Linked DNA regions of Oryctolagus cuniculus. The protein of the gene in region 1 interacts with the protein of each later gene in a pairwise test. Links are inferred from orthologs where the notes say so. Each region holds a gene or a part of one and is shown on either strand. Other genes may lie near its edges.

Region 1 (10,385 bases):
GTAGAGAAGCAAATGAAGACGAAGCTGCTGATTATATTTTAAATAAGTTACAGAACCCATTTCTGCCCCCCCCCATAAAAATCTGTCTTTCCCCCCCTCTCTCTGTAGCTCTGCCTTGCAAGTAAATAAGTAAATTTTAGAGGGTTTGGGGTGTAGCATTGTGGCACAGCCAGTTAAGCTGCTGTCTGCATCTCCAACATCCCATATGGGCAGCAGTTCAAATCCTGGCTACTCCACTTCTGATCCGGCTCCCTGCTATGCACCTGAGAAAGCAGTGGAAGATGGCCCAAGTGCTTGGGTCCCTGCACCCACATAGGAGACCTGGTTGAACCTCCTGGCTTTTTGGGGAGTGAACCAGTGGATACAAGATCTCTCTTCTGTTTCTTTTTTTCTAAGCCTGCCTTTCAAATGAATAAGTCTTTAAAAAACAAATAAAAAAGCAAAGCAGGGGTGGGCGTTTAGCTTAGAGCTTAAGATGCCCACATTCTCATATCAGAGCACCTGACTCCAGCTTCCTTTTCTCTCCCACAGAGAGTTTCTCAAAATAATTTTCTTTTTAAAATTTATTTAATTATTTGAAAGAGTGAGAGGGAGACGCAGAGACAGATCTCATTCACTGGTGCGCTCACTGCCAGGTCGCTGTAGCAGCAAGCCCTGGGCCAAGCTGAAGCCAGCAGCCTGGAGCTGGGTCTCCCACGTGGGAGACCTAGCACTTGGGCCATCTTACACTGCTTTGCCAGGTTATTAGCAGAGAGCCGGATCTGACGTGGAGCTGCCGGGACACAAACTGGCACGTAGAGCGGATGCTGGTATTGCAGGTCACGGCTCAGCTTGCTGCGTCACAGCGCCCTCCCCTCGAGAGCATTTTTAAAAGCATTGTTATATAAAAGCTCTGTCCCTGACAAGTGTGCTAACGCAGAACACAATTGGTCATTTAACATCATGTGCTCTTACTGTATATTTTGTTTTCTTATATTCTATCCAGTACTAATTTTGGAACAAGCCTTGTGTACTGTTAACTCAAGAAATATTTCCCATCTATTCTCCAAGGTTCTGATATATGGAGGCTTCTGGTTTGAACTTCAGGATCTTTATGAAAGCTTGAAGTTATTCAGAATTACAGTTCAGTTGTCAAGAAACTTGTTTCTATTCCAATTTCAGTGACGAAGAGCGATACAGATACAGAGAATATGCCGAGAGAGGGTATGAGCGGCACAGAGCGAGTCGGGAGAAAGAGGAGCGGCACAGAGAGAGACGGCACAGGGAGAAGGAGGAGAGCAGACACAAGTCCTCTCGAAGGTTTGCTCCTGAGTCGAGTCGTGAGGCTGAGAGAGAAGCTGATTGGATTTTAGCCATGAGAGCAAATGTTTACAGATGGCCCATAGAACGGATGTGTTTCTATTTGGAAGATTCAGAATAATCTGTGGTTCCTTGCAAGCTTCAACAAAGATTTTAACTCTAGCAAAACTACATTTAATGTCCCAAAACCAGAAGTAATGTGGAGGAAAAAAATCATGTATGAGAGATATTTGCTTACAACATAATCTCATTGAGAGGAAATTTTGGCGTATGAATCCGTCTTTAGTAGTAAATAGTAAATAGCAGTGTTTGGTTCAGTTAAAGAAAATTTGGGGCTTGCAGTCTCCAAAAACAACATGAGCAACAAAAAACCAGCACTAAATTCTAAGGCCTATTTATATAAAATGCCTTCTGTGCTGACGGAGTGCTTCGGTTCCCTGTTTGTAGTTAGCCATGTACAACAGAGAACGCGGCGCTGGGACTCTGAGGTGGTATTGGTAAGGTGGCCCTGGAATGTGATTCTGCATCAGAGTCACATTCAAACTGATGTGGTTCCTCCGTGTCTTTATGAGACAAGAAAAGAATGGGTTAGATTATTTGAAGTCCAGGTGTTGTGTTGAGAATCAGAGTGGCTGATTTTTATCACAAAGTGTGTACTTAAGGGTTTTTAAACAGTACATTGTTTTTTGTTTGTTTGTTTGTTTTTCAGTAACAGTAGACGTCGCCATGAGAGTGAAGAAGGAGACAGTCACAGGAGGCACAAACACAAAAAATCTAAAAGAAGCAAAGAAGGGAAGGAGGCCGGCAGTGAGCCCGCCCCCGAGCAGGAGAGCACCGAGGCGGCACCCGCAGAGTAGGCGTGGGCGGGGCCTCGTGTCTGCAGCAGTGCCGGAACTAGATATTGTAAATCTTGTTATTTTTCTGGATAATGTTTAAGAAATTCACCTTTAATCTTGTTCTGTTAGTATGAAAAGTTAACTTTTTTTCCAAAATAAAAGTCGATTTTTCATGTTAAGTTAAAGATGCTTGTCATGTAGTATTTAAAAATCGAATAGCAGCCGTGCTTTACATCTAGGGAAGTACTGCGAGTGAATCACGTTAGGGGTTCAGGAGCACCGTGCCTGTGGTACGCACAGTGTCCGAGACAGGTCAGGCCGCACCTCGGCCACGGTCGTCCTGGCAATCAGCAGTCTCATCAGAGGCTGCACTGCAGAAGGCATCAGGAGGCCCCTCTTGAGTCTGTCTTCACTGCTGTGGCATTCCTGTTCCTGCTGCGCACGGTCAACGACTCATGCACGTGTTTGCTTTTACACGGCTTTGTTTTGTGTCTGGGTTTTTGTTTTTTGGGTTGGGGGAGACAGATACAGCAAGCTCCCATCTGCTGATTTAATCCCTGCAACAGCCTGGACTGGACCAAGCTGAAGCTGGGAACCAGGAATTCGATTCAGGTCTCCCATGGGGGTAGCAGGAACCCAACTACTTGAGCCGTTGAGCCATCATCTGCTGCCTCCCAGTGTTAGCAGGAAGTTGGAACCAGGAGCAGGAGGCAGGTAGTGAACCCAGGTACTCCACTGTGGGACATGTGTGTCCCAACTGATGTCTTCACTAATAGGCTAAATGCCACCCACCCCGGCTTTTTGATGGCAGGATCTCACTGTGCTAGATTGGGGCTCATGGGGAAGCTGGATGGGCGGTTTTATATGTAAATTACGCAGGTGGAAGGCATTTGGGTGGCCTCTGAAGCCACTTGCTCTGGTGTGGTTCCCAGCAGGCTCATGTTCCAACACGGATCATTGTGACCAGCTTGGATCCCCTCACGCCGGCTGGGGTGGCCCTCCTTGGTGCATTTTCCCAGGCTCATTGGTGGAGCTGCACGTGCAGTTCCTGACAGTTACTAGTTACGTTGTGAGGACAGCTGAACGCCAATTCTTATTGAGCCATGAAAGCCCAAGTTTATAATTCCGTGAGCACTTTCAGGGATAACCCTCAGAGATGATTCTCCAGTCACATAAACAGATGACCTGGTATTTGAAAGAGCAGATTGCCGGCTCTTTGAAATAGTGCTGACAGAAGGAAACTTAGAATTAGCATCACATACAAAAGGCGGCTATGGTTTGTGGAAAAATATTTATTTCTCATTTGCTGAATGTTTTTAGCAATGAATGCATTTTTCAAAATCCTCTTGCTTTAAATTAAAAATGCCCGTAACGTACCCTTTGCTGATCTCAGCCTGAACCAGCATTTGAGTTGATGATTTGAATTCGGTGGGCCCTAACAAACCATTTCAGGTGCTCGAGAGCGTTTTATTGAGCACAAAATACAAATGAAGGAGTACAGTGCAGTGCTGCATCCTAGATCAGACCATTCTGTAGTAGTTTTTATTTTTTGAGAGTCCTATTTTCTGAGGTGCAATTGGCTTTATTAGATTAGGCCTTCTCTGACATTTTCACAAAGTTTTCGTTCACTATAAAAATTGACAAGATAAATACATTGTTCCAGCTTAGCCCGTGTGTCATGTTCTCTGACCCGTTATTGATGCTACAAGAATGTGCCAGGCCAGGACACCAGAGTGAGGGTGATTCTTCCTTTGAGTTCCTTCAGCATTCGAGCCAAGCAGGCGTGCGTCATTCCTGCTGTGCTCCTGCCGTTGACTGCGAGGAGAATGTCACCGCACCTGAACAAGGCAGCAGGAGGGATGTTTGGTTTCTTAGCTGAAGTTTATGCAGATTGATTTTGGTGGCCTCATTTCTGCTAGATTTGTTTGGTTTTGATTACTTAAGGGTCTCCCCCCCCCTTAGATTCTTTAAGCATGCTAGTCATTCCGCTTGTGTTAAAAGGGGTGCTCAAGGTAGAGCGACCTGCAGTGTAGGGCCGAGAGCACGTGCGATCGATCATCGGGGTGTTTTATGTTAAATGCTGTGCAAGTGTTTTATTTTCTTGCCCACCCTTCCCCTCAAAAGGAAGAGCCCTTATTTCAGATGGGGCCAGTATTGTGTGTCTGAAGCAAAGGACCTGAATGTAAGCTCTCTGTGCAGCAGTTGTCTTTATTACCTGATCCTTCCATCGTTGTACGCTGGTGTGCCTTCCACCACGGATTTGATAAAGAAAGGCTTGTTTCCGCTGTGTTCTTCATACCCTCCCACGATGCAGAAGCCCAGGCTGCCTGCCGCGTTTCTGCGTAGTGCGACATCTTTGCAGTGATACAAGTACCTGGGATAGAACAGAATTGGAGGATATGCACAGTTCAGTGTAACGGCTGGAGACGGAGTATTGTGCCTGTATCCCATTCCTTCTGCTGGCATTTTCTTAAGGCTAAATAACACTGGACAGCTCCCGCCCAAGTGTGTTTCTAGCTCAGCAACCTCTATGCTACAGCTGGCTACAGCAAACATTATGACCATCATATTTTTATTTACCTGAGTATAAATTTTTAATGAAGGCAGAAATCTTTCGAACAAATCGTTAAAATCAAGAAAATGTAGGTGTAATGAATGACTTTGTTAGCGTGTACTTGACCTTCGGAAAGCTCTAGTGCATATCGGGCTCTGCATGTTTGGTAGGTGACTGAGAAGTGTGCAGGCGGAATGTGAGTGGGATTGCACCTTCAGGAAAGCGGAACTGCAGACGCTGAGAAACCAGCTGCTGGAGGGATGGGAGGAGAGCGCACAGCCCTGCGGTGGGTGGGTGGGTGGGTGGGTGGAGGCCTCAGCCAACCAGGGAGGGAGGCTGGGCACATTCTGCTACTCTCCCTGGTCACTGGCTCCCTGCTCGCCAGGACTCCTGTGTCTGCCACATGTGTGCTGTAGTCCATGAACTCCTGAGAGGAACACGTTTTCATGTTGGCAAAAATCAGGATATGACTACTGTTTATAAACTGTACCTTAAAATAACATTGCTTTTTGAAAACCAATAAAAGTCTCTTGTGAATAAGTGAAGTTGCTCGTTACAGTTGTTACCGATCTTGCTAATCAGGGTAATGTGACTTTTTTCACGACGTTGCCAATACTCAGTTGAAGTAAAACCACCTCTGAGGTTTAATGAATACCTTTAAAATGTAGTGCTTTGTATCTGTTGTCCTACATATCATTTATAATAATTCGATAGCTGAAAAACATGAATGTCATTAAATGAGAAAACGACTTACTGTCAAATACCTGCTATTTCACAAGAAACTTTGATGTCAGTTGATGACTTCAGCCTGTAGAAGCCGTGGTGTGTGGGATAGATACCATGTTGTACTTAATAGCTTACTGAGTGCTTGTGCACGGAGCAGGTCCGTGCCTAGCCCCCGACACCAAGGCAATGACATTCCCTGTGGGAGACCCTGTGCCCAGCGTCTGGGATTGGAAAGTCATTAGAAGATGCCTTTCCCAGGTCATGCTCCTAGTCTGCAGACACAACAGGTTCATGGAGTAGGACCTGAAACTGTCCCTGTTTGTCACCCTTGTGACATACCCTCATTGCTCCCTCTGGGCCTCCTTCCTCGTAGTTCCTGGTCCCTGCAGTCGTGCTCCTGAGCAACACCAGAACTGCATCCTCCGTCACTGTTCTGCTACCTGTCACCGACCTTCCCAGGTCACAGCCTCGGAACCATGACCTTACATCCGGGTCAACTCCTCCGCTTAGCTTCTACGTGTTGGGGAGGACATGGGGTACTTCACTTAGTAGCCCCTGGTTCTGTGCGTTTTTCTGCAGATGACACAACTTCCCCTTTTTGTGGCTGAATAATACTCCATTGTGCATACACCATGCATTTTCTAAACCATTCACCCGTCTCTGGGCAGCGAGGTTGATTCGTGTCTGCTGTTGTGAATAGTGCTGCAGTCAGCGTGGGAGTGCAGTATCTCACGTGCCGATGTCATTGTCTTCAGCTACATGTCAGCAGCCAGATGGCTGGAGCCTCCTGCACTGCTTGAAGATTGCGAGTTTGCAGCAGTGTGTCCCAGTTCCCTCTCGTCTGCATACTGCTAGCATTCATAGCTGTTCTAGCTGGGGCGATACGACACCTCATTGTTAGGATGTGCATTTCCCTGCTAATGACCATGCACTTTTTCCTCTATTTGTGGGCCATCTGTGTTTACTTTTTTGAGAACTGTCTTTAGATCCTTTGCCTATTTTTAAATTGCACTTTTTTTGTTAAGTTTTTTGTTCCTTACGTATTCTGGATATTACTCCTTTGTCAGATGAAGAGTTTGCAAATATTCTTTGTCATTCTGTCGGTTGTGTCCTCACAACACTGATTGTTTCCTTTGCTGCGCAGAGCTTCCTCGTTTGATGGAATCCCACTTGTCTGTCTTTGCCTTAATTTTGCCCGAGCATTTGGAATTTTACCTCCAAAAGCATTGCTTATATTGTAGTCTTGAAATACTTTCACCATGTTTTCTTCCAGTAACTTAATACTTTCAGTTCTTTGGTCCATTTTGAGTTGATTTTTATAGTGATTGAGAGGTGGGTTGTGTGCATGTGTCAAGTTTCAGCTCTCTGCATGTGGATATCCAGTTGTCCCAGCACCATTAATAGCAGAGGCTGTCGTTTGTTCTGTCCCATTTGTGTGTGTGTTCTCACGCCAGTACCGTGCTCTCTGGTTCCTGTAGCTCTGTCATCTGTCTTGAAATCAGGCATCGTAATGCTTCCAGTGTTGCTGCTGAAGCTTGCCTTGGCTCTTCAGTCTATTGTTTTTCTGAGAGAATTATAGGGTTTTTTTTCTATGAGGAGTGCTACTGCAAGAGTGAGGATTGCATTTTATCTGTAAAATTGCTTTGCATAACCGACATTTTAAACACTTTTTCCAACCCATGAACAAAGGAGGTTTTTTTTTTTATTTTATTTTCTTGTGCCTTTTTCAATTTCTAAAATTAGTGCTTTATAATTTTCATTGTAGAGGTTTTTCACGTCCTGGTAAATTCATTCTGTGGTGTGTGTGTGTGGCTACTGTGAATGGGGCTGTGTGTATAATTTCTTAGCAAGTTCATTATTGGTTCTGTTTTTTTATGTGTATTTTTTCTTTAGTGAATTTGTGAACTCTAATAGTCTTGGTAGTCTAGGGTTTTTTGCATGTAGAATCATATCATCTGCAAACAGATAATTCAACTTCTCCCTTCCTATGTGCAGGCCCTCTTTCCCTTACCTAATTGCTCTGGGAAAAACTTCCAGTACTATAAGAGAGTAGACAGCTTTGCCTTTTCTAGATCTTAGGAAACACTTCCAGTTTTCCCCCATTGTATAATGTTTGCTATGGGTTTGTCATAGTCTTTTTTTAATTTTAAAGATTTATTTATTTGAAAGAGTTACACAGAGAGAGAAGGAGAGGGAGAGAGAGAGAGGGGTCTTTCATCTGCTGGTTCACCCCCCAATTGGCTGCAGTGGCTGGAGCTGAGCTGATCTGGAGTCAGGAGCTTCTTCCAGGTCTCCCACACAGGTGCAGGGGTCCAAGGAACTGGGCCATCTACTGCTTTCCCAGGCCATAGCAGGAAGTTGGATTGTAAGGGTACCCGCTGTGCCACAGTGCCAGCCCCATCATATAAAGTCTTTAATATAATATTGGGACCTGGAGCCACCACTTTGGGGTAGCAAGTAAAGCCACTGCCTGCAGTGCTGGCATCCCAGATGGGCACTGGTTCGAGCCCCAGCTGCTCCACTTTTGATTGAGCTCCCAGCTATGGCCTGGGAAAGCAGTAGAAGATGGCCCAAGTGCTGGGCCCCTGCACTCTTGTGGGAGACCTGGAGGAAGTTCCTGTCTCCTGGCTTCAGATCAGCTCAGCTCTGGCCATTGTGGCCATTTGGGAGTGAACCAGTAGATGGAAGATTTCTCCCTCCCTCCCTCCCTGTCTCTGCCTCTGACTTTCAAATAAATCTTTTTAAAAAATAAAGATCACTGATAAATTGAAAAATAACTTTTTTAAAAAAGGATACAGACTGGCTGAAACATACTTCACCAACAAAGATACATGCAGACTGAAAGTGAAAGGATGGAAAAAGAGTCCATGCCGATGGAAAGCAAAAAAGAGCTGGGGTAGCCATCCTAATATCAGACAAAATGGACTTTAACACAAAAATCATCAAAAGAGACAAGGGCATTATGTAATGATTAAGGGATCAGTTCAACGGGAATATGTGTCTATAATGTCTGTGCACCCAATACCAGAGTACTTGGCTATTTAAAACAGATGTTAATGGATCTAAAGGGAAACATAGACTCCAATAATAATGGGGGACTTTAATAGCCCCCTTTAATCAATGGACTGATCAACTAGATAGAAAATCAACAAAGGAAAAACAGAGCTAATCTATACTATGTACCAACTGGATCTAAATGATAGCTACAGTATGTTTCTTCGCACAGTTGAAGAATACATATTCTTTTTATCAGTGCCTGGAACTTTCTCTAGGGTAGACCACATGCTAGCCCATAAAGCAAGTGATAGCAAATTCAAAAACTCAAAATCATACCATGCATCTTTTCTGATAACAGTGGAATGAAGCTGGAAATTAATAACTTAAGAATCTCTAGAAAATATGCAAACACATGCAGCTTGAACAACATGCTCCTGAATGAACAATGGTTCACAGAATAAATAAAAAGGAAATCAAAATATTCCTGGAAATCAATGAAGATGACAATACAACATATCAGAACTTATGGGAAACAGCAAAAGCAGTGTTGAGAGAAGTTTATAGCAATTGGTGCCTACATCAAGAAATTGTAAAGGCATCAAATAAATTAGCTATCAATGAGTCTCAAGGACCTAGGAAGACAACATCAAACCCAAATTTAGTAGGAGAAAATAAATAAAATTAGAGAATAAACATTGAAACAAAAAAAATTTTCAATAGATCAGTGAAATGAAGAGCTGTCATTTTGAAAAAATAAACCAAATGAATACACCATTGGCCCAACTAAGAGACCCCAAAAAAAAATCAGAGATGAAAATGAGGATGTAACAATGGATACCACAGAAATTAAAAGAATGCTCAGGAATTATTATAAATGGCTATATACCAACAAATTGGAAAACCTAGAAGAAATGGATAGATTCCTGGACGTATACAGTCTACCAAAACTGAATCATGAAGACATAGAAAACCTAAACAGATCATTAACTAAGAGATTGAATCAGTGATAGAGACCCTCCCAACAAAGAAAAGCCCAGGACCAGATGGCTTTACTGATGAATTCTACCAGATTTTAAAGAAGAACTAATGTAATTCTTAAGCTATCCAGAACAATTGACAGGGAGGGAATCCTCCCAAACTTGTATGAGGCTAGCATCACCCTAATTCCAAAAGCAGAAAAAGATACAAGAAAGAAAGAGAACTATAGACCAATATCACTGATGAACACAGATGCAAATATCCCCCACAAAATACTAGCTAATTAAACCCAACAACACACCAAAAATATTCACCCAGACCAAGTGGGATTTAACCCTGGTAAGCAAGGATGGTTCAACATTTGCAAATCAATCAATGTGATACATCACATTAACAAAGAATAAAAACTATATGATTATCTTAATGCAGAAAAAGCATTTGATAAAATACAGCATCTTTTGTGATAAAAACCTTAAGCAAATTGGGTATAGAGGGAACATTCCTCAACATGATCAGGGCAATTTATGACTAACCCAAAGACAGCATCATATTGAATGGGGGAAGTTCGGAAGCCTTTCCACTAAGATCCAGAACCAGACAAGGATGCTCACTTTCACTATTGCTATTCAATACGGTCCTGGAAGTTTTAGCCAGAGCGATTAGGCAAGAAAAATGAATCAAAGGGATACAAATGGGAAAGGAGGAAGTAAAATTTTCATTGTCTGCAGATGACATGTCTATATAGGGGAACTACAGACCCCACGAAGAGAATGTTAGAACTCTTATAAAAGAGTTTGACAAAGTTGCAGAATATAAGATTCACACACAAAAATCAGTAGCCTTTGTATATACAGACAATGCCATGGCTGAGAAAGAACTTCTAAGGTCAATCCCATTCAAAACAGCTACAAAGAATTTAAATATTTTAGAATAAATTTAACCAAGGAGGTGAAAGTTCTCTATGCTGAGAATCACCAAATATTAAAGAAAGAAAT
Region 2 (10,385 bases), on another chromosome or scaffold:
AGAAGCTACCAAACTGTTTTCCAATGTGACTACATCATTTTATATTCCAAGAACAGTGCATGATGGTTCCAGTTTCTCTGTATCCTGGCCATTACCTGTTCTTGTCAATGTTTTTGATTATAGCCATTCCAATAATCGTATACTGTAATCTCATTGTACTGTTAATTTGCATTTCTCAATGACTGATTGTGAGCAAAATTTCATGTATTTTAGTTATTTGTGTATCTTCTTTTGTGAAACATCTAGGCAAATGTTTTACCCCATTTTTATTTTAATAACTTGTCATATTGATTTGTAAGAAAATATATATTGTGTATGTAGGTTCATTATTTAGGCAGATGATCTATTTGCAAAGATCTATTTGTTTTGTATGTCTTCTCATTTTCTTAATGAACAGAAAAGGTTTTTAATTTTCATAAATTTATTTGTCATTTCTTTTCACTCATGGATTCTGCTTTTGGTATAATATTTGAGAAATCTTGCCTAATGCAGCATCACAAAGATTTTCTCTACTGTATTCTTCTGGAACATGAATCAGCAAATGATAGCTTGTGGACCTCATCTGGGCCAACTTGGTAGCCACACTCATACTTGCATGTTGTCTATGCTTGCTCTCTCTCTCCAGTTAGTTTTGAATGATTGTTTGCAGAGACTGTATTGAATGGAGAAGCTAAAATGCTTACTTTTATAGACCCTTTCAAATGGTGTTTGCTGACCTTCTTTCTTGAAGTGTTAACAGTTTTAGATCCTACAGTTCTAGGATCCAGTTTGAGTTAATTTTCGCTTGTGATATGAGGCAAAGGTTTCCATTCTTCATCATCATCATCATCTTTTTTTTGTTGTTTACATACGGGGTTTCATTTGGCCCAGTATCATTTACTGAAAAGACTGTCCTGTATGTAATGAGTCATTTTCTTCTTACTGCCTTCCATATTTTTCTTCTTGTTTGCGATCATCAGCTGTTTTATTAGTTTATCTAGGTATGGTTCTCTTTGTGATTTTACTGCTTTGGGTTTGTTGAATTTCTTGGAACTGTAGATTGTTTTTCATGAGATATTTGAGCAATTATTTCTAATTCTTTTTGTTTTTAAAAAATTTATTTTATTTGAAAGGTGGAGTTATATCCAGAGAGAGAGAGACTGATCTTCCACATGCTGCTTTGCTCCCCAAAAGGCTGCAACAGCCAGGGCTGGGCTGGACCAAACCAGAGCCAGAAGCTTCTTCCGGGTCTCCCATGTGGGTGTAGGGACCCAAGCACTTGGACTGTGTTCTGCTACTTTCCCAGGCACATTATCAGGGAGCTGGATTGGAAGTGGAGCATCCTGGAATTGAAGCCAGTGTTTCAGGCAGTAGCTTATCCTGTTACACAACAGCTGGGGCTCCTGTTTCTTCTATTTTTACTGTCCCCTTTCTGAGACTTCTATTGCAGTCATACTAGTATGCTCAGTGTTGGCTACAATTCTCTGATTCTGTGTTTTTCAATATTTTTCTGTTCTTCTGATTGGATAATTTAATTTTGCAGATTTTTATCAGATTTGTGCTTTAGACCATCTAGTGAGTTTTTTATTTTAGTTATAGCACTTTTCAACTCTAAAATTATCACTTGATTATTTTTAATGGCCATCACCTGCTACCTCCCAGGGTACACATTAGCAGAAAGTTGGAGCCAGAACTCATACCCAGGCACCCTGATTGAGATTTGGGTTTCCCAAGTGGTAGCTTTACAACTGTGCTTCTACATCTGCCCCTCTTATTTTTATGTTTTGAACTCAGCTTTCAAGGGTTCACACTATTGTTACATAGGTTAGTGCTTAGCTAACGACTTCTTTTTTTTTTATTTTTTTATTTTTATTTTTTTTTATTTTAAAAGTCAGAGTACACAGAGAGAGAGAGGTCTTCCCTCCGGTGGTTCACTCCCCAATTGGCTGCAATGGCCAGAGCTGCACTGATCCGAAATGAGGAGCAAGGAGCTTCCTCCGGGTCTCCCACATGGGTGCAGGGCCCAGGGACTTGGGCCATCTTCTGCTGCTTTCCCAGGCCATAGCAGAGAGCTGGATTGGAAGTGGAGCAGCTGGGTCTTGAACCGGTGTCCATATGGGTTGCTGGCACTTCATGCCAGGGTGTTAACCTGCTGCGCCACAGCGCTGGCCCAAACTAATGACTTCTTGAAGGCTATACCTCAACCCTTTGAGCCAGTAAGGCATTCACCCTCTGTTGGGGGTTCTGTATGCTTCAGGAGCACATTCAAAATTCAGTCCATTTTCATGTTCACCTCTTTTACTTTCCATTGGATTGTTTTAGGTGCCCCTGTGTATACACATGGGTTTTCTCAGCCAAGCTTATGTGGAGAGCTTGCTCTCTATCAGGTTTCCAGTGTCTACTCTCAGCCCCCCAAATAGCTGGCATTTTGCCGAGTTTAGGTCTCTCTTGCAGATGTGTGTGGCTTTGTATTCAGCCAGAGTTGTGTGGAAGGCATAGGACCTTGCCTCAGTATCTGTCAGAATTATCAAGGCCCTATGTGGCTCTCCTGTTTGCAGAATCTGACTGTTAAATTTCTATCTAGTCCTCAGGTTTGCCACCTCAGCTGGCACAGCAATCACAGGCTAAGAGGGCTGCAGGCTTTTTTGTTTCCCATTGAGTATGAACTTTTTTCTCTGCTTGGCATCAGAGTAGTCCCCTTTGACCTTGAAACTGCTGGTTTTCACAGCCAACCTCACCGTGATGGAACTTCCTTGTCAATGGAATTGGGGTTGTGGGGGATGGGTGCAGTTCCTGGCAGGATATGAGATTTCTATGGCTCTTATCAAGAAGTTTTGTTGGCTGGCACTGCGGCTCACTTGGCTAATCCTCCGCCTGTGGTGCAGGTACCCTGGGTTCTAGTCCCGGTTGGGGCGCCGGATTCTGTCCCTGTTGCCCCTCTTCCAATCCAGCTCTCTGCTGTGGCCTGGGAGTAAGTACAGTGGAGGATGGCCCAAGTGCTGGGGCCCTGCACCCACATGGGAGACCAGGAGGAAGCACCTGGCTCCTGGCTTCCGTTCGCCGGCTGTAGCGGCCATTTGGGAGGGTGAACCAACAGAGAAGGAAGACCCCCCCCCCCACGCCTGTCCAAAAAAAAAAAAAAAAAAAAAAAAAAAAGAAGTTTTGCTATTTTTCATTAAAAATCTCATCTTAAAAGTGGTTTGTTGTTGTTTTTTTTTTGTTGTTTGTTTGTTTTTTTTTTTTTTTTGCCTTTGGTTGGTTTCCAGACTATAGAAATGGTTGTTTTGGATGGTTTTATCCAATTTCGCAAATTTTTTTTGAGGATAAGATTTTTTTTTTTTTTTGAAATGTCATCCGTGCAGCTCTAACAAATACTGTGGCTTTGGCTTTTAATTCTTTCTTTTTAAAGTCTTATTTATTTATTTATTTATTTAAGGTGGAGTGGAAAAAGGGAGAGATAACTTCTAACTGTTGGTTTACTCCCTGAATACCTGTGACAGACAGGGCTGGGCCAGGTTGAAGTTAGGAACTGGGAACTCTCTCTGGGTTTACTACATGATTTACAGGAACTCAAGTACTTGAGCCATTGCCTGCTGCCTCCGGCTCCAGGAAGCTGGATCAGAAGTGGAGGCATTGTGATATGGGATGTAGGTGCCCCAGGCAGCCACTTAACTGTTGTGCCACAGCACCTGCCCTGGGGTTGAGATTTTGTACTCCCTCAGTGGAAGTCCAAATAGAGAACTTGGATTTTAAACCCTAGGATTAGTATTTTTCACAGTCCAGTGCTCTTTACTCTAATCCATACTTCCTTGTAGGGATAGTTAACTGATCTGATTTTCTTGTTTGTTTGTTTTAAATATTGTCAACTTTTTTAAGATTTTTTTTTTTATTTGAGAGGTAGAGTTACAGAGAGAAAGAGGAAGAGACAGAGAGAGGCCTTCCATCCTCTGGTTCACCCCTTAAAAGGCTGCAATCTCTGGAGCTAGGCTAATCTGAAGCCAGGAGCCAGGAGCCAGGAGTTTCTGCCCGATCTCCCATGTGGGTGCAGGGGCCCAAGGACTTGGGCCATCTTCCACTGTTTCCCAGGCCATAAGCAGAGAGCTGGATTGGAAGAGCAAGAGCTGGGACATGAACCCCAGCCCAAATGGGATGCTGGCACTGCAGGTGGAGGCTTAGTCTACTATGCCACAGTGTCGGCCTCTCATTTTTTGTTGTTATTGTTGTTGTTTCTTGAAGAGATGACAGAGGGCTAGATGGATGAGTCTTGGTTCAAGTGTTAGGTTCCCACAAAGGGTAAGACTTTTAATTCTGAATAGGTATATTTGCAAACTCAAATTGAGATGATTTGAAAGATTTGGTGGCTCTTTGGAGAGTAGATGCGTTGTTTCTTCAGAATAAGCCAACTGTTTTTGAGTGTGCTTTTCCTATGATTTTCCTTGTTTCATAATGTTGAAATGTGCAGGTACCAGATTCATGGAAAAATGGAATTAAAAGATAAATTTATTTTGTTCCAAAAATTTTTGAAATCCATCCATCCATAATCGTTTCATGATATTTTTGGTGAACTTTTTGAAGATCCCCTTCATAAATACTGTAATTAGGATCATTTTACAGATAAAGAAATCAGTTCTCAGGTTAGGATCTTAACCATCTGTTAGCATTAGTATGAGGATGATATTTTAACCTGTTTCTTCTGGCTTCTCTTTGTTCTTTGTACTCCATATAATTGTTTCTCTATCATATCATAATTACTTGTAGAATCTTGATGATATAAATGTTTATTTTTATAGTAGTACTTGAGGTTAGACTAATTCAAAACAATCTTCCTGCATTTTTACTAAGGGCTGAAATTCTTTTCTTTCCATTGATACTCACAGTTAATCGGGAGCCCCTGTTTATTTAGGTAGTTTTAGCAAACTGGTAAGAGTCAGAAGAAAAGATATCCCCATGGCAGCTTCCTCTGCCAGCTTCCTTTTTTTTTCTTACTCCATAGATGCAGATTCTGCCCAAGAAGCCCCTGCATTGCAGAGGGACTGGAGATCTGTATGATCTGTTTATTTCGCAATTGACAAGGGTAAGGGGGTTTTTTTGGGGGCGGCGCTTGGGTGCCCTGACTTTAGCTTTATGCAGCTGGGCTAACATTTATTTTGGGATTACTTAAACTTAGTATTTTAAAAAACCCTTTTATGAATTCTCTTTGCCCTACATTAGTTAAGTGCCAGATTATAATGTTAAAAAGCATTTATTATAATGGTGGTTTTTTTTTTGTTTGTTTTTAAAGTCCTGTTCAGAAAAAGATAAAGATGATTATGTTCTAAAATTGCAAATCTGGGAACATTAGATTATTAATAATATTGAATATATGAGGGTACTAAAAAAGTTTGTGCAAAAATAGTATTAAAAGATAAGTTTATGTTGGTGCCAAGGAATTGAAATCCATGAGTAATTTTTTTATCTTACACATTTTCCCTGAACATTTTGAAGACCCTATATATTGCACAGATTTCAAAATTTTTTGTACCAAAATAAACTTGTCTTTTAATTCCATTTCCACGAAGTTTTTGAAGTACCTTGGTATGTAAGTTTAGTATCACATAAATAAAAATTTAAGAAAAAGATTTTGGATATATGGCTGTATCTATAACATGTCATAGTTATTCTTTATTAAATCACTTTGTTCCTGTTCCATAAATCTATCAATTTAGAGTGAAAAAGGACTTGTGGTTATGCTATAAACATTGTGGGTGGCCAGGGTGTCTTTTCCTTGCTGCTAGAAATTAATACTTCCTGAATTCTTTGTCTATCCTAGATTTCAATGACATTTGAGTTATATCTTCAGCCTATGTTATATCTTGATCCTTAGGCTAAGTGTACAAGTGTAGTTGGTCAGTCTTATTGAAGCAAAGGTAAAGTTTTGTGGGTTTCATTTGGCAGGCTTACAGAACAAATGCCAGAAATGTTGGCATTTATGATGAAAGGATTAAAATAGATGAGGAAGACTTTAATGCTTTTAAGATCCTGGAAGGATTGGGCAGATGATGGTAGCGTTTGGTGGATAGTTGACGAGACTTGAATTGGTGATGGTCTGATGGACTTTTTATTTTTGAAGGTACTATTATACTTGATAGTCACATAACTTTTTTTTATCTAAAGAAATAGTGTACATTTCTGTAATTTTCTTCAGTATTTTTAGTATTCTGTACATCTCATATTTTAAAGTTGTGTTCTTTAAACATTTAATTTATAGTTTTTTAAAAAAATTCAACAGTAATATATGTTATTCTTACCACTATTAATAAATATTCCACTTTCTAGTGCTAAGATTTTTGCAAAGCTGTTTCTATTCTTAAACATCCAGAATGACTGTTTTGCCTTTTTTTTTTTTTTTTTTTTTCTGTTTTCTTTAAGCCATAAGGATGAGTTTACCATTATTCCTGTACTGGTTGGAGCTCTGAGTGAGTCAAAAGAACAGGAATTCGGAAAACTCTTCAGTAAATATCTAGCGGATCCTAGTAATCTCTTTGTGGTTTCTTCTGATTTCTGCCATTGGGGTAAGTTCTAGACTTTAATGTATCATGGTAGATTATATACTTGTGCTTTAAGGTATCTTTTCATTCTAAACGCTGATTGTCAGTCTTTATCACTTTCCTTGGAAAGTTTACTTTTAGCAGCAGTGTTTAGAAGTGAATGAAAAAGTCTTTTGATCATTAAAAAGGATCAGATTATAATAGTGGATTATGGATACATTTCCAAAGGCGACTGGTATAATTGGATTCACACTGTGAGGGTATCCTTGCTTAGAACTGTTCTTAGTGGGAGTTAAGACCTTTTAACCCCATTTTCAGGTAGGTATGTGTGGTAGGTCCTCTGAAGGTAGTTTTGGTGGATGAAACAAATGCTCTTCTTTAGAATGCAGAAGAGCACTGTGTGCTATGCCAGTCCTTTTCTGCTTTTCCTTTTTTGTAATTAGTCTTTCTTTCTTTCTTTTTTTCCTTCGGTGCTTATTTTTTGCTCACAATTGCCATCAGTTTAGAGCTACCCTCCAAAGATTGTAACACGTTGGCTATTAGCACTGTGGTCTTCATTGGTAATGCTTTATAAGGGTAAGGACTCTTAAGTGATTTTTGTGATTATTGTGAATTGAGAGAGTAAGGACGCTTCACAGTGAATAAATCAAGAAGGAAGTGAGAAATTTTTGGATGACTTTGTCAGTAGATTTTATTTTAGCTTTCTTTGGATAAATTTTGCTCTCATTTATCTATTAATGTCCTAGAATATTTCTGAGTTCTGTTCCTCTTAAGACGCCTCTTTGACCCGTTTATTCCTTGGTTCATTGGTTCAAGGATGCCAACATCTGTTTAGTCATCACTTATTTCTTTGATTATTGTAGGAAACATAGGACGTCAGACCATCAGTTCCAAGATAGAATGCTAGGATGGCCAAAATAACATCCTCAGTATTGGGAGCCTTGCCTTTTTTAATGTATTTTACGCATTGATTGCCTGAATTGATTTCAACATTTGTCTGGCTACTTTATGGTAGCTTCTTCCTTCTTCTCCCTTTGAATGCTTCTTAGTGTTGAGATATCAGTTCAAGAGGACTTTAGTCCGTAATGATATACGTAAAGCTTTTGTAAGGTACTGATCCTCAAAAAGGATTAATTCACCTCCTAGGCAGTTTATGAAAATACTTCAAAGACACTTTTGATTTTCACAGCAGGGATGGGATTTGGAAAGTGGCAATACTACTGATGTCTAGGGAAACTAGACTAGAGTCTAGGGAAACTGCTAACTATACATCCTGCAATGCACAGGACTACCCTCAACATCAAAGACTTACTTGGCCCAAAATGTCATTAGTGCTGAGGGCAGGAAACCTAGATTTAGGATATGCAGGTGGCTGTTTTTCCTTCCTCAACTCCAGAGGAGCTCTCAGGATTTCTTAAGAACAAATTCTGTTGGTTAGTTGATGTGCTGCCTTTGGCAGAAAGTATTTTTTTATCTAGTCTATTACTTAAATATGAAGGCTGGGGAGATTCCTAAGAATTTCTGGATTCTGGAGAATTCAGGAGAATTTTGAAATTTAATAGTAGTTGTTTTTAAAAGTTGAGGAATATCATTGCTGAAAAAAGGGGCTGGTTTTCTTAGTGTTGTGAATTTGTGTTGGCAAAAAAGCATGTTCATGTCTTTTGGAGATTAAAATTCTTTAAGCAAGTGCCCCATCCTCAATTTTTAAGGCTCTTGTGAATCATTTGATGTAAGTAATTTGTTTCCTCTGATAATTGTTCTTCAGAATCTGAGTGCTTTCTCTAGGTTGGCAACATGTTTTGACTGTAACATAAATTCACATAAAACAACTGTAGGTGCCTTAATATTGTTATTTTCTGTGGAATCGTCCTTTTTATTTGACTAAAAAGTCTAAAGTAAGCAGTTCCCTAGTACCTACTGTATATAACTACAGTGGTTGAGAGATAAAGATTTTGTTTTATATTCTACCTAAAGCCTCAGAAAATTATTTAGGCTGTTTTGTCTTTAGATTTCTTGCAAATTTTAGTATTTAAATTGTAAGATAGGATTTCCACTTGATAATTAAGGAAAAGAGCTCAAAATTTCCAAATGTTGATACATGATATAATACTCATAGATTAAAATCTGTTTATATAAGGGCACTTCAAAAAGTTTGTAGAGAACTGTAATTAAGTTAAGTTTACTTTTTTGGAGTAGAAAATTTTGAAATACATACTTATGCAGGATCATTAAAAAGTTCATTATGAACAAAAACTGCATTTTTAAAATATTTATTTATTTGAAGGCAAGGTTACAGAGAGAGAGAGATAGAGAGAGATCGATATTCCATCTGCTGGTTTACTCCCCAAATGGCCACAGTGTCTGAGGCTAGGCCAGGCTGAATCCCAGAGCCTCTTCCAGGTCTCCTCCTGGGCCCAGGCTCTTGGGCCATCCTGCTGCTTTCCTTGGAGCATCAGCAGACAGCTGGATCAGAAGTAGAGCAGCCAGGACTTAAACTGGCACCCTGTAAGGTAGCCTGTTAAGCATTAGAGGCAACTGCTTAGCCTGGTGTGCCACAATGCTGGCCTCAGTACATGGGTTTTAAATTTCTTTTGCCCCAAAATAAATTTATGTTTCAGTTCAATTTTTCTACAACCTGGTGGTTACTTAGTGTTACTTAATGGCCTGTTACTTATAGAACATTTCCAAGTATTCACTTTTTGGTATCACCATCATTAACAATACTCACAGTTACGGAAAGCACCGTGCTACTTCTTTCTCACTGACAAATTTGATGGAGGTATGGGAGTAAGTGTAAAGTATGAGTAACGTGGATTGATTAAATTGATAGTCTCCTTACAATCCTAGAAATTATCATTTTTGTAAATTCAGGTTTATTTTCTCTTTTGTATATGTGTTGAAGTAATAATGAATCATTGGCTAGTTATAGGTGAAGCTGTTTTTTACCTAGGTCTCATGTTTCTCAAATTTGTATTGTAGTGTCATTGGATGTTCTTTCTGAATGAATAAAGAGTGCTATATTGACTGGCGCCACGGCTCAATAGGCTAATCCTTCCCGCCTGCGGCACCGGCACACCGGGTTCTAGTCCTGGTCGGGGCGCCGGATTCTGTTCTGGTTGCCCCTCTTCCAGGCCAGCTCTCTGCTGTGGCCCGGGAGTGCAATGGAGGATGGCCCAAGTCCTTGGGCCCTGCACCCCATGGGAGACCAGGAGAAGCACCTGGCTCCTGGCTTTGGATCAGCGCAGTGCGCTGGCCGCAGCAGCCATTGGAGGTGAACCAACAGCAAAAGGAAGACCTTTCTCTCTGTCTCTCTCTCTCACTGTCCACTCTGCCTGTCAAAAAAAAAAAAAAAAAAAAAAAAAAAAAAAAAAAGTGCTATATTACCATCTCAAAAATTTGGTGTTTTCTTTTGAAGATCAGTGACTTTTTCCTTCCTCTCCTCTTCTCTTCTCTTCTCTTCTCTTCTCTTCTCTTCTCTTCTCTTCTCTTCTCTTCTCTTCTCTTCTCTTCTCTTCTCTTCTCTTCTCTTCTCTTCTCTTCTCTTTTTTAAGGTTTATTTATTTATTTGAAAGGCAGAGTTACAGAGAGGTAGAGGCAGAGTCTTCTATCTACTGGTTCACTCCCCAAATGGCTGCAATGGCCATAAATGCACTGATCTGAAGCCAGGAGCCAGGAACTTCATCAGGGTCTCCCATGCGGGTTCAGAGGCCCAAGCACTTGGGCCATCTTCTACTGCTCTCCCAGGTAATAGCAGAGAGCTGGGTTGGAAGTGGAACAGCCCAGTCTTGCAATGGCACCCATATGGGATGCTGGCACTGCAGGTGGCGGCTTTACCCACTAAGCCACAGCGCCGGCCCCTCCTTCTTTCTTTTAAATTAG

What was found. The genes of interacting proteins can lie anywhere in the genome.
Region 2: the proteins of LNX1 (region 1) and MEMO1 interact in binary tests that used the Homo sapiens proteins (3 or more experiments, as listed by UniProt). The two-hybrid records come from large-scale screens. The link is inferred for Oryctolagus cuniculus from reciprocal best matches to the Homo sapiens genes LNX1 and MEMO1.

The regions. Positions count from the first base shown.
Region 1 is NC_091439.1:110,427,325-110,437,709, reverse strand, and holds the end of LNX1 (E3 ubiquitin-protein ligase LNX), read right to left. Parts: intron 4,510-10,385; coding exon 4,351-4,509; intron 3,974-4,350; coding exon 3,838-3,973; 3' UTR 3,408-3,837; downstream 1-3,407. Other genes in the region: FIP1L1 (pre-mRNA 3'-end-processing factor FIP1), read left to right, coding at 1,162-1,299, 2,009-2,156.
Region 2 is NC_091433.1:170,924,103-170,934,487, forward strand, and holds part of MEMO1 (protein MEMO1), read left to right. Parts: intron 1-6,387; coding exon 6,388-6,530; intron 6,531-10,385. UniProt on the Homo sapiens protein: May control cell migration by relaying extracellular chemotactic signals to the microtubule cytoskeleton. Mediator of ERBB2 signaling.